Linked DNA regions of Tribolium castaneum. The protein of the gene in region 3 purifies or fractionates together with the protein of the main gene of each other region. This does not show direct contact. Links are inferred from orthologs where the notes say so. Each region holds a gene or a part of one and is shown on either strand. Other genes may lie near its edges. The genes, in order: Rpp30, Pop4 and Pop1.

Region 1 (3,633 bases), on a different chromosome or scaffold from region 3:
GGCCACAATTCCCATGATGATGTTAGCACAATGTATGAACAAAGTGAGGGAAAATAAATAATAAATAAAGTGACGGAGGCCCATATGGGATCATTATCCTTGTAGTGTCTGAACACCACAGCACAGTCACTTGCAAACAAAAAAACATACAGTAGGAAAGAACAAACTGAAGGAATGAAATAATTTATTATAACGTCCTGTCTTGGCGTGAGTTCGTAATTTAGAAACGTTTTCCTTAAGTGAACCTTTCCTTTGTTAACACTCATTTTTAGAAAAATTCAGGTTTCTGACATGATGAGTCAAATTTTATCACACACTGAGATAATAAACCATTTCCAGCGTTATCAGTATTGATAAACATGAGTCAATTTTCATATATTGTATTTTACACTATTTTACTATAACTTAACAGATTAGTGTATTATCTGGCAGGATGTAAGTCTTCCAAGTAAACCGAATGTTTTTCCAACATTTCCGCTACAGGATCTTGTTTATTACATTCCGGGTCATATTTCGCTCCCAGGGCCCATAAGGAATCTAAATCATATACAGTCCTAGCTTCGCGCGAAAATATGTGAAGGGCTATATTTCCTACAATTTCAGATAGTAAACAATTGAAAACAAAAAACAAAAATTACCTAAATCTAAAGCTAACCAATCCTTTGAATTTTCGCCTTCAAGCTTAGGGATAAGATCAGTTTTGTGCATTTTTTTCTTATAAATCATCCTAACAAACTGAGCAATTGCCTTCATATGTTTGTGTGACTTTCCAGTAACAACGCAAATGTACTCAACATACTGAATTTCTTTAGGCACCGCAGCCACAAAAATGTCTTCAGCATTTTCAGAGTGAAGCACTTCGATCAAGTCTTCAATATTATAAACACCATTGACACCTCCTTCAAAGAGACAATGTACAAAATGTTTCAAACACTAGTGATTGTAATACTCTCTAAATTAAGGCCCACAAAAGGGTCAGGTTCCTCCTCTTCAATCGCATTCACCGGATTTGCGTATTTACTCCGGTCCTCGTAAATATCGAGTATGACTTCGGAGTCTTCATCTCGAAAAATCTGGTATTTTGAGCTCATTTCGCCAAGAGGTGTCTTTGTTGTACTTTGGGATGTGTCTGGGGGTTGGGTTTTTGTACTTTTGCCAGATTTCAGTCTCCGCTGGACACAGTTTTGTAATAAATAGAGACACTGATTTTGCGGCCGCGTTTTGCTTAAAAGTCGTGTCACAAACATGGTTTTTATTAAATTAAAATAAACAAATTTAGATTTTGAACATAACCTTTCAAATTGACGTGCGTCAAAAAAACAGAGACAGATAGATTAGTTTTTAAAAATTTAGACAGAGAAGGATGACTTTTGACAGATTGTGGTAAACATGTGCTAGTGCTAGGTTAGGGATTGTTTAAAAATTTATTTTTATAAAAAAGTAGTATTACGGAACATGAAGTTGGAAGTCAGAGGTTTTTTTGATTACGGTGTCTCTGAGCATTGTTTGGACAACAACAAATATGAATCGACCATTAAATTGTTGTACGATTGTGAGTTGCAAACAATTTTATTAACAGCAAATTTCTGAGAGAAAATGTATTTCAGTCGGTTACAGGACAATAGCAATAAACCAAACAATCGATGCAAATGAATTAGAGCAGAAAAAGAAGAAGAAAAAAGGTGAACTTAGAGAAGGCCCCTCAGATTTTGTACCAGAACCCTACAAAATAACTCCACTTGAAGTAATATTTTTACCGAGATTTTGTTTAAATTAATATCAATATTGCAGGGTTACGAAGACTTAACTATTCTAAACCGCTTAACAATAATTTTTTCCAATCAAGACGTGATGCATAAAATTGTAAGTTACCCTGATAAGGTTATAAATTTGTTACATTATTATTTTAGACAAAGTCTTCACACTACAAAAAATATCACATAATCGCGGTTTTACCTGAAACGGTTCAAGCAAATGCGGTAAGATTTTCAACAAACAAAAACGGTTTAACACTTTTTTGTAGTTTGTTTGTAGCAGCTTTGAAGCAGACATATTATGCTTTCGTCCAGAGAATAAAAACCACATTAAACGTTCAAGAAAAATGTACAAGCAGCTAATAGACAGGGGCTATCATTTTGAAATACCTTACGCGCCTGCTATTGAAGACGCCGCTTTAAGGAGAAACATTATACACATGGCACATCTATATCACATTTTTATCAAGTCAAGAAATGTTATCGTGTCGAGCTTAGCCGAAAGACCTTCTTTGCTTAGGGGGCCTTATGATATCATTAATTTGTAGGTATTCTTAATTATTGGATCAAATATTTTTTAATTAGTAAATTCGCAAATACAGTTAAAGTGCGTTCGTTTAATTATGTAATTTTTCTGGTCTGACTAATGGTGGGAAAAGATGTATTTTTTGGCAGGAAGTTATAAATTATTTATGTACTTAAAAAAATTATTTAAATTGGCATTTCTACAGTTTTGAAACAGTTAATAATCAATTTTAATTTTAAGTCATTGTCACTGCAGGGGTGAAAGTTCTACAAACTAAAAAATTTGCATCGCTATCAACCTAATAATTTCTTAACGGTGCTGAGGGAGACAACTTTGTAGTAATTTTAATAAATGCAAAGCTATAAATAGGAGTAATAATACGAAATGTTTTTTTATTTTTGTAGAGGTTTAATATTTGGATTAAATGAAGAACAAGCAAAAAATTCCATAACAACTTGTGGTCGCAAAGTTTTTATCAATTCAGGTAAATTAGATACGTTTGTAGTTACAAAATAATTATTAATGTTTTAGTTGGTCGAAAACATGGTAAGGCTGTTATGTTTGCTGAAAATGTGGAAAAAGAAGAGAGTTCAAACGATTGTGAAATAATAGACTGTGTTGACGAAAGTGAAGAAGACATGGAAATTGATCAACCAGCATTAAAAAAAGTTAAACAATAAGTTTTTATTGTGTTTTTTAATTGTGTTATCAATAAAATAATTGGAGTTAAAATTGTCTTTTTTTATTATTAACAATAAAATTATGCTGCTAGAAGAGAATGTATAAATAGGTGCTGATCTAATTAGTTTTTAATTGCAGTTCTCATATTTAAATAATAAATATTCTAATTAACAGGTCTGATAAATCAATACGAGTTTTGTTGCAAAGAAAGTTTGATTGTCGCTTATGCAATCCATTGCCGGGTCTTGTAATAATCGGATATGGAGTAATTACACGTGTGTGTGCAAAATTGGCAATTTATTGATTGAAGGAGTGAGAAATTTCGAGTTTGAATTGGAACCGGAAGTGGTGTGCGGTGTAGTGGTGCGTAATTTCAAACTTGGCGCTTTGAAAGGTGGCAGCACCGTCGATCACAAGCGTAATGATAAAATGGAGTATTCATTTATACGTGCAGTTTATACACAAAATTTAATTAAGTGAATTCATGTATATAATCGTTGATAAGTGTAACTAATAAGTAAAATATCTCAAATACAAATGTGGTTATCAACGTAGCATAGTTTAACACTGCGGATAGGTAGTGGAAAGTGCATTTTTCGTCGGTGTCAAAAAGGGATAGAGTTGAACGGAACAGAGGCCGACGGTGTCCATGGTAAGTTTCCGCAAACGTCG
Region 2 (3,329 bases), on a different chromosome or scaffold from region 3:
TAATTAAAATAGCTTTCCAACGCTAATACACTTCATGGGGTTATCTCGAATAGTTCCGGAGTTATTGCTCGATAAATGTCCGGAGACCCGGAATCGACCAAAATCGCGACAAAAATTGGAAAAATCAAACATAAAAAATTGAACATATGGACGTTTTTTGGACTTTTAACAACTCTAGAGGGTTGTAAAGGCATATATAAGTCCGAAAAACTATGATAGAACGAGTTTTAAAAAAATTTAATTTTTTCACTTTCGTGAAGGTAAGTGTGTTACTCAGGAAATTTTAGCAAAAAAATCAAAATTTTAAATCTCGTGAAAAGTTGGTATAATACAGAAAATGAGCCGCTGAATTCAATGGAACAAACCGCATTGCTCTACGACCTTTAGTTTTTTAGTTATGAATTTTTTTTGTGTTAACTTTTTTTTATTTTTATTTTTTTCTCAATTACGGCTAAACTATTCCAAAAAGTGGAACTATTTTGATCCATACCTATGCAAAATGATCCGGGGAATCGATTGGCATCGAGAAAATTCCCAAATTCCGAATATTTTTTTAGTTATGAATTTTTTAAAATTTTACTAATTTTTGCTTTTATTTGCAATTTGCTCGAAAACTATTAGTCGGAGAACTATAATCTTTTTTGAAAAAAATAGATAATTGAAAGAGCTTTCCAACGATAATACACTTCATGGTGTTATCTCTAATAGTTCCGGAGCTATTGCTCGATAAATGTTCCGGGCGCCGAAAATTGACCAAAATCGCAACAAAAATTGGAAAAATCAAACATCAAAAAATCGATCAAATGGACTTTTTGTGCACTTTTAACAACTTTAGTGGGTTGTTAAGACATATAGAAGTTCATAAAAATTTGCTGGAGTGAGTTAAAAAAAAATTTTTCACTTTTATGAAGGTATATATTTGCCTTGACCAACGAAATTTTAAGCAAAAAAAATCTCAAATACTACTAATCGCACAAAAATCAGGATTTTGCTCTTAAATCATTTATATTTTTTCAATGCCTGTGATATTTTTCCGAATTTTAATTAGGAAAGGGTAGAAAAAATTTGAAAAAATTCACAAGCGACTAAAGCTTCGATCAAAAAAATTATTGATGGCTTTGGCCATAAATAGCACTGATTTCAAATAAGGTGTAGAGTGAGTGGATGTTTGAACATTTCATTATTATGCCAGATTGCTTCTCCAGTTCCTTAATTACTAATTAGTCCCAAAAATCGAATCAAACAAGGAACTTTCCGCCTGACTTCCTTTGACCTGAAAGTAGCCGACCTTTCAGACCCCGACAATAGCTAACTCTATTACCTATGCTGTTAAACAAACTGGAAACTTTTTTTATTATACTTTATCGCAACGAATCTCGACTATAACGTAACATGAAGAGACAGTTGAAGTGACATTTTGAAAATTAATCTTAGACGTGACTTGTACTTTCCTGTGCAATAGTTCAATTCGTAATGTAATGTAATAATAAAAGATGCGTCTCGTCAAAAGAAAGTTATAAATGGAAATACGTAACCCACAAAAACGCACAATTGGCGGTTCGTTCCCAGACATATCTCATCCTTTCATAATTCACTTAAAGCGGAGACAGCGGCAATTCACACGAAAAAAGAGACGCGTCTGCCAGATTTGAGAGAAAATTAACGAATTTCACATTTCGAATAATTCCGAATCAACCGCCAATTAACGAAATTAACCCAACTTTGTCAACACCGCACTTTAATAAAAATTCCGACCTTTGACACCCGAATAACAATAAAAAAAGAGAAAGTTACGGCGCTTTTACTCAAATTTAAACTTCGCGCCACTTGTGATTGACATCAGTTAACCTCGTTTTTTCCAATGGCCGGTAAATCGCTTAAAACCAGCATTTAAACGTTTTATTGCTGTTTTTCCCCCAGATTTATACACGAGCTTGCCCGACCAGTACCTCAAAAACGCCCCCGAGATCGGGGACCCCACCACCTACATCCAAAAACTGCTCCTGAAGGAACTCCCTAGAAGCGACTCCCAACAGCTACGCCACGACCTGAAATGGCAATTCCTCCTCGACAAACACCAAAGTTCGCAAAAGCGAAAAAAACCGATCCGGAAAAAGAAGACTTTTCTCACTCGAAGGGAGCGAAAAGACCTTAACATTTTAAAATTGCCAAAGTCAGACTGGGATTACAATTCACTTGAAGGGATCAGGAAAATGTGGCGTCAATACATGAGACAGAACCTGGAATTGGCCGGGCGTGCGCCCCACTGTAGTGAGCAAGACTGGGCCAACTTTTCGGCAGTTTTGGCCAAATCTGAGCTAATCGGGAGCGAGATCAAGGTGGCGCGGTCCAAGTGCCCCAGTCACGTGGGCCTGACTGGGACCGTTGTCTTGGAAACGAAAATGACGTTCCAGATCGTCACACAACAATCACAATTGAAAAGTATTTCAAGCAATAATTTTAAATCGTCTCTAAATCGCTTGATTTCAGTTATTCCAAAAAACACGTCCGTGTTCGAGTTCGTCTTGGACGCCATGAAGTTCACAGTTTTCGGCAAACACATAATGACGAAGCCCAGCGAGCGCAGCGTTAAAAAAATCAAGTCGGTGATGTTACCAGATTTGTGATTTATTTTTTGCGCTTACGCCCCAAGCTATGCTCATATTGTAATTTCGACCAAATGCCTTTACACATCTTTACAAGTCGTTCGTCCACAACAAGTGCATTTTTCGCGGTTGTGAACTCCTGATAAATTATGTTCCTGGCCAGTTTGAAGCGTTTTTGTTGAATTAAACTTAGACTAAAGTAGAGGCGACATCTGGCGGCCACAGTCGGGTCACCTAACCTCAAAGCTAGCTTCAATTGATTCACGGAGATTTTCCCGGCGATTTGGGCACAATTCGCGAAGTAGTCACCAAGGGCTGAAAAAGCCCCCCCGAGGGTGGACAACCACGACATGGCGTGGTCCAGCTCGCACCGCTCGCGCACCATTTCCACCACTCGTTCGTTCCTGAAAAAGTGTTAGCCCCCAATTTTGACACTAATTGACTCACCATTGGTAGTCAATTAGGTTGTAACGTGTCTCCAGGAGAATAAAGCTAAAGTTGCGGCTGTTTTGCGATTTTATGAAGCAAATCCGGTAGAAGCGACTTAACCTCAACTCCTTCAGCAAGTAGTGGTAGAACACGCAGTCGATTCGGAGCACACAAGGGGGGCCTTTAGTGCCGTTTTTGCCTAGTCTTAACCCGACTTGCATCATTTTTTTTGTAAATTCATCGTAATAAACTGGTGACACTTTAGGTTATGTTGTTTAGGGGATTTGTGCAAGG
Region 3 (4,230 bases):
CATTGCCAGATTTTTACGTGTTTTCCATCTTGTAGTTTGTACTTTACAAGGTACGGTATTTCATTTTTTATAATTTCTAGTTTGCATAAACCGTCTAGATCTTTCAAATTGCTCAAATCCAATGGCATCCGATTATTTAAATTGGCATTAACGTCTAATGTGTTCGAAAATATGTTCGATAAATACGACGAACTAGGTTGAACAGAGTTAAAGTTTCCACATTGCAAAAAATCGATTTCTCTCTTAACATCCCTAAAATTAAATATAAAAAAATGTGTATTTAAGCACTTATAAAGTTCAAAATCATTTTTTATACAGAATAACCCATTAAAACAAGCCACACGAGTTTTTATTTTTTTTAAGATTTTCCTAATAGAAACATAGGTTGATTTAATATATGAATTATGTTGGTGTTAAAATTTATTTTGCGATTAACCCGTGAATCAAAGCATCTGATTGAAATTACTCTTAAACAGAGTGTCTCTACAACGCTTTGAACCCGAAATTCGCCAATTTTGAGACATTCTGTAGGTATAATAACTTGTTACATTGGTGAGTTACGTCTGTGAATTTTACGCAAGATGTTTATCTCAGAACTTTGAAAACATCATTTTTAGACTTACGTATACCTTTTTTACACTCACTGAAACAATTAAGTACTTAATTTATTATATCAGGCACTCTAAAACTAACCCCCATTGCTATGTGGTAGAAATAATGATAATAGTTAAATAAAGTTTGTATGGGACGCTAATGCTCTAATAAACAAAACAATTCCAAAATAAGTGAATTTTAATCTGCTTTTGTCTATGGCTTTTGTTAAAACAGAAGTCACAAATGAAGTTGCGATGTGTGTCTTAAAACTGTATTTCCAAAATTCGCTTTTTTGGGGCTTGTTGTACTCACCCATTATTCTCCTTGTCGAATTTTAAGAAATCTGCGTTCAAGTTTAGCTGATCCATTTCTTATAATTCCAATTTAAAGCAATTAGAAGAGCTTGAAGGAACTTTTGTAACTAATGCAAACAGATTTTTCACAAAAACTACTCACATAGTCAAAAGCACACTTTATCAAGTAATAATAAAAAACAAACAATCATTTCAATCAGAAAATTTAAACGTTTAAATTTTTGAAAAAATTTAAACACAAAAACAGGCTAGTGAATGTATTTTGTTTAAAAAATTGTTAAAAATTGAATGTTGATGGATTTTCATTTGACTAATTATGGACAAACTGTCATAGCTTTCTAGATTCAAGTGAACAATATTCATAAATTTGCGATAATGATTTAAATTCAGCTTAAAACATTATTTTAGTATCAATGCCAAGAAAACCATTTTAAATTTTGAATTGAATGGAAAGTAAGACTCATGCGCACAAAATTCTATTTTTTTTATAAACGACTGCAGCGTCACCTGACGATTAAAACTAGCAAAGGTATTTTTTTGTTTTAAAGCTACGCGGTAAATTTGAATGATTCTCTCAATTTTTACATTAAAATGTGATAAGTGCGAATTTACTTTCAATAATATTCATTGCTAGCTTCAGTAATTAGCGCCTGGAAGGTATGTCAAGATTACAAACCAGTGTCACAATTTTTGAGGTTACGTTCAAGTCAAAAATGTGGTGATTTTAGCGTCAAAACCATGATTGACGAAGAAGCCCAATATGACGCCCTTCTGGGGGGCTCCGAGGAGCTCCCTTCGAACATCTCCTTATCGAAATTCGTGGCTTGCCGCAGCCAAGAAATCCAAATCATGAAAAACTCCCTCCTGACCCAAACCGGCTCAAAACTGGCCTTCCAAACTCTACCGAAACACATGAGACGCCGGGCAATGTCCCACAACGTCAAAAGACTACCACGGCGTCTCCGCCAAATCCATTTAAACCAAATGAAAAAATCCGGAATGCCAACGCAACAGAAGCGCCCCTCTCGCAAATACCGCCGAAAACCGCGAAACCTCCTCGAAGAATACACCAAAAGGGCCAATAAGAAGTACAAATGGTTGCAAACCCACATCTGGCACGCGAAACGGTTCCACATGGTGGAGAAATGGGGCTACAAGTTGCCATACCACGCTTGTGATAAGGCCTTCCGTGCCTGCTACAGGGCAATGACCCAACATTGCCTCTTACAGGACATTTCCTACTACAGTTGTGTGGAAATCCACGGCGATAAAAGCGAAATTATTGAAAAAATTAAACTCCTGTGTAAGCCAGGCGAGGGTTTAAGTATTGGGGCGAAAGCCTTTTCTGAGGGTAACCGCGAGGGTGAAATCTGTCTCTATGATTCGTTCCAAAAAGCCATCGGGAACGTCATGTTCCAGTGGCAACCCTCTATTGACGAAAAATGTAAATTGTGGTTGTGGGTTCATGCCGCTTTTTATTCAACCACGAAAAACACACTAGTTGAGTGTTTTAAAAACTGCCAGATCGAAATAAACGAACTTAGACTTGAGTTGAGCAGATTTAGACTCAGTGGGCCTTTATCTAATCCAGTTCTTCAAGATGCGCTTGCTTTGATCGACATTTATGATATTAAATTAGTACCAGAGTCGCCTCTTAAAAAATACATTGATTGGCCGGAGAATAAAGCAGTGATTATAAATCAGTGCGAGTTTTGGAAAAAACTAGCCTCGGTGGCATCCCTACATGAGGTTTCCCCCCACATCGTGTTACCCTTGATTGTGAAAGACCCCCGATTGAATCTTCCAAAAAAGCGCATAAAAAGTGTTTTAACTTTCGGGAAATTGGAATTTGATCAAATTCCTGTGAACATTTCCGCGAATCCTTTATGGGACAAGACCATCAGAACGTACTCAAATGAAAATAAAGTGTCTGACTCAAAAATTGTTGACTTGCAAAGTGGTTTACTAGTCCCGGGGTCTGATTTAAAAGGGACCATTGGCCACATTCCAATTATCCTGATCCAAAGGCCAGGGAATAAAACCCAGAACGTTGGTTTAGGGAGTGGATGGGATGTCATCCTACCAACGGCTTGGGCCAAACCGTTTTGGATTGCCTTCGTTATGAGGGGAGCAAGGGTTGGGGGTTTGAGGGAATCAGACTCAATGCTTTACGAAATGGGAAAGTCACAGTTGCTTCACCCGGACACGGACGCAGGTTTTGAGGAAGAACTGAGACATTCAAACCAGCACAGGGTTACGTTTTTCCAAAAACCTCCAAATAAACGAATCAATTACAGTAAATTTAAAATCGCAAGTCCTTTGCTTTGCAATTGGAGGCTTTTGCTCAAGGACTGGAACAGTGGCTTTACGGGCGAATTTTCAGTCCTCAGGGACAAAAAACAGCTTCATTCGATTAATGTAAATTAATTGTCTTTGTAAAAAGTGAACTTTAAGTTTTGATTGTTTTAGGCTTTTCTCAATTCTAAGACACACCCGGTGCCACAGTGCCCCCAAAATTGCCTCATTCCTGTTAGACTTGAGTGTGAGAAGCGGGGCTCACTGGCCGAGTATGCCATTATTTGTGTCCCGAAATGTAAGAGTGATTTGAGCGAAGTTTTGTTGGAACCGAATTGCGAGGATGTAAATAAGGAAAAGCGGAAGGAATTGAGACGTGCACATCAAAGTTTGTTGAAAAAATTGCGGAAGAAACGCAAATTAAAGTCGGAGCTTGCGGTAATGTCGGTTTGTTTTAATCGAACTTGTTGATAAGTCTGTTTTAGTCGGATGATCACAGTGAGATTTTACGCAGTTATACGGAGAAAATGAGAGCGCTGTGGCTTCCTGAGCCAACTACCATAAGGCATTCGTGTAGCAGAGAAGTTGTAGGTTTTGTTTCGAAAGGCGGTTTTAGTTTTTCGATTGGGAAAAGCGCAGGGACGGGTTATATAACTAGCGATTGTTTATCGGAGTTGGTTGATTTTAGAAATAAGGTTTTGTTGAGGAATACTAATTCTCGGCAATATAAAACTGCGAATTTAAGCGTCATTGTAGAGTGACTGGCTGAATATAAATTTATTACAGGAAAACGTTTATAATTGCTATTTACAAATACATACCCACATGGGGAGGCTGCAAATGCCGAATTTTTTTGAATAAAAAATAATGCAATTTCTTATTGCTGTATAGGAATTTCCAAAATATTTTATTGGAGGCGTGCAGCCGTTTTTTAAATAATCAATTTACGGAATGGTAATAAGTGTTGTTACACTAAATTGCCGATTTACGCTCACTTTGATGAAAAAACGGGTCATAAAAAAACACA

The links.
Region 1: the proteins of Pop1 (region 3) and Rpp30 purify together in Homo sapiens (affinity purification with mass spectrometry; 5 studies listed by BioGRID and IntAct, counting the BioPlex papers as one, with this or other methods). This does not show direct contact. The link is inferred for Tribolium castaneum from reciprocal best matches to the Homo sapiens genes POP1 and RPP30.
Region 2: the proteins of Pop1 (region 3) and Pop4 purify together in Homo sapiens (affinity purification with mass spectrometry; 5 studies listed by BioGRID and IntAct, counting the BioPlex papers as one, with this or other methods). This does not show direct contact. The link is inferred for Tribolium castaneum from reciprocal best matches to the Homo sapiens genes POP1 and POP4.

The regions. Positions count from the first base shown.
Region 1 is NC_087398.1:7,285,481-7,289,113, reverse strand, and holds Rpp30 (ribonuclease P protein subunit p30), read left to right. Parts: upstream 1-1,356; 5' UTR 1,357-1,455; coding exon 1,456-1,552; intron 1,553-1,607; coding exon 1,608-1,744; intron 1,745-1,791; coding exon 1,792-1,863; intron 1,864-1,910; coding exon 1,911-1,979; intron 1,980-2,023; coding exon 2,024-2,298; intron 2,299-2,684; coding exon 2,685-2,764; intron 2,765-2,811; coding exon 2,812-2,960; 3' UTR 2,961-3,012; downstream 3,013-3,633. Other genes in the region: uncharacterized protein LOC103313092, read right to left, coding at 1-266; uncharacterized protein LOC658939, read right to left, coding at 422-591, 639-899, 950-1,247. UniProt on the Homo sapiens protein: Component of ribonuclease P, a ribonucleoprotein complex that generates mature tRNA molecules by cleaving their 5'-ends. Also a component of the MRP ribonuclease complex, which cleaves pre-rRNA sequences.
Region 2 is NC_087401.1:15,382,778-15,386,106, forward strand, and holds Pop4 (ribonuclease P protein subunit p29), read left to right. Parts: upstream 1-1,382; 5' UTR 1,383-1,861; coding exon 1,862-1,868; intron 1,869-1,920; coding exon 1,921-2,442; intron 2,443-2,490; coding exon 2,491-2,627; 3' UTR 2,628-2,628; downstream 2,629-3,329. Other genes in the region: uncharacterized protein F58A4.6, read right to left, coding at 2,629-3,010, 3,054-3,259. UniProt on the Homo sapiens protein: Component of ribonuclease P, a ribonucleoprotein complex that generates mature tRNA molecules by cleaving their 5'-ends.
Region 3 is NC_087394.1:32,928,195-32,932,424, forward strand, and holds Pop1 (ribonucleases P/MRP protein subunit POP1), read left to right. Parts: upstream 1-1,396; 5' UTR 1,397-1,565; intron 1,566-1,615; exon of another isoform or gene 1,616-1,636; 5' UTR 1,637-1,646; coding exon 1,647-3,326; intron 3,327-3,377; coding exon 3,378-3,641; intron 3,642-3,688; coding exon 3,689-3,964; 3' UTR 3,965-3,994; downstream 3,995-4,230. Other genes in the region: zinc finger protein 774, read right to left, coding at 1-252, 907-962. UniProt on the Homo sapiens protein: Component of ribonuclease P, a ribonucleoprotein complex that generates mature tRNA molecules by cleaving their 5'-ends. Also a component of the MRP ribonuclease complex, which cleaves pre-rRNA sequences.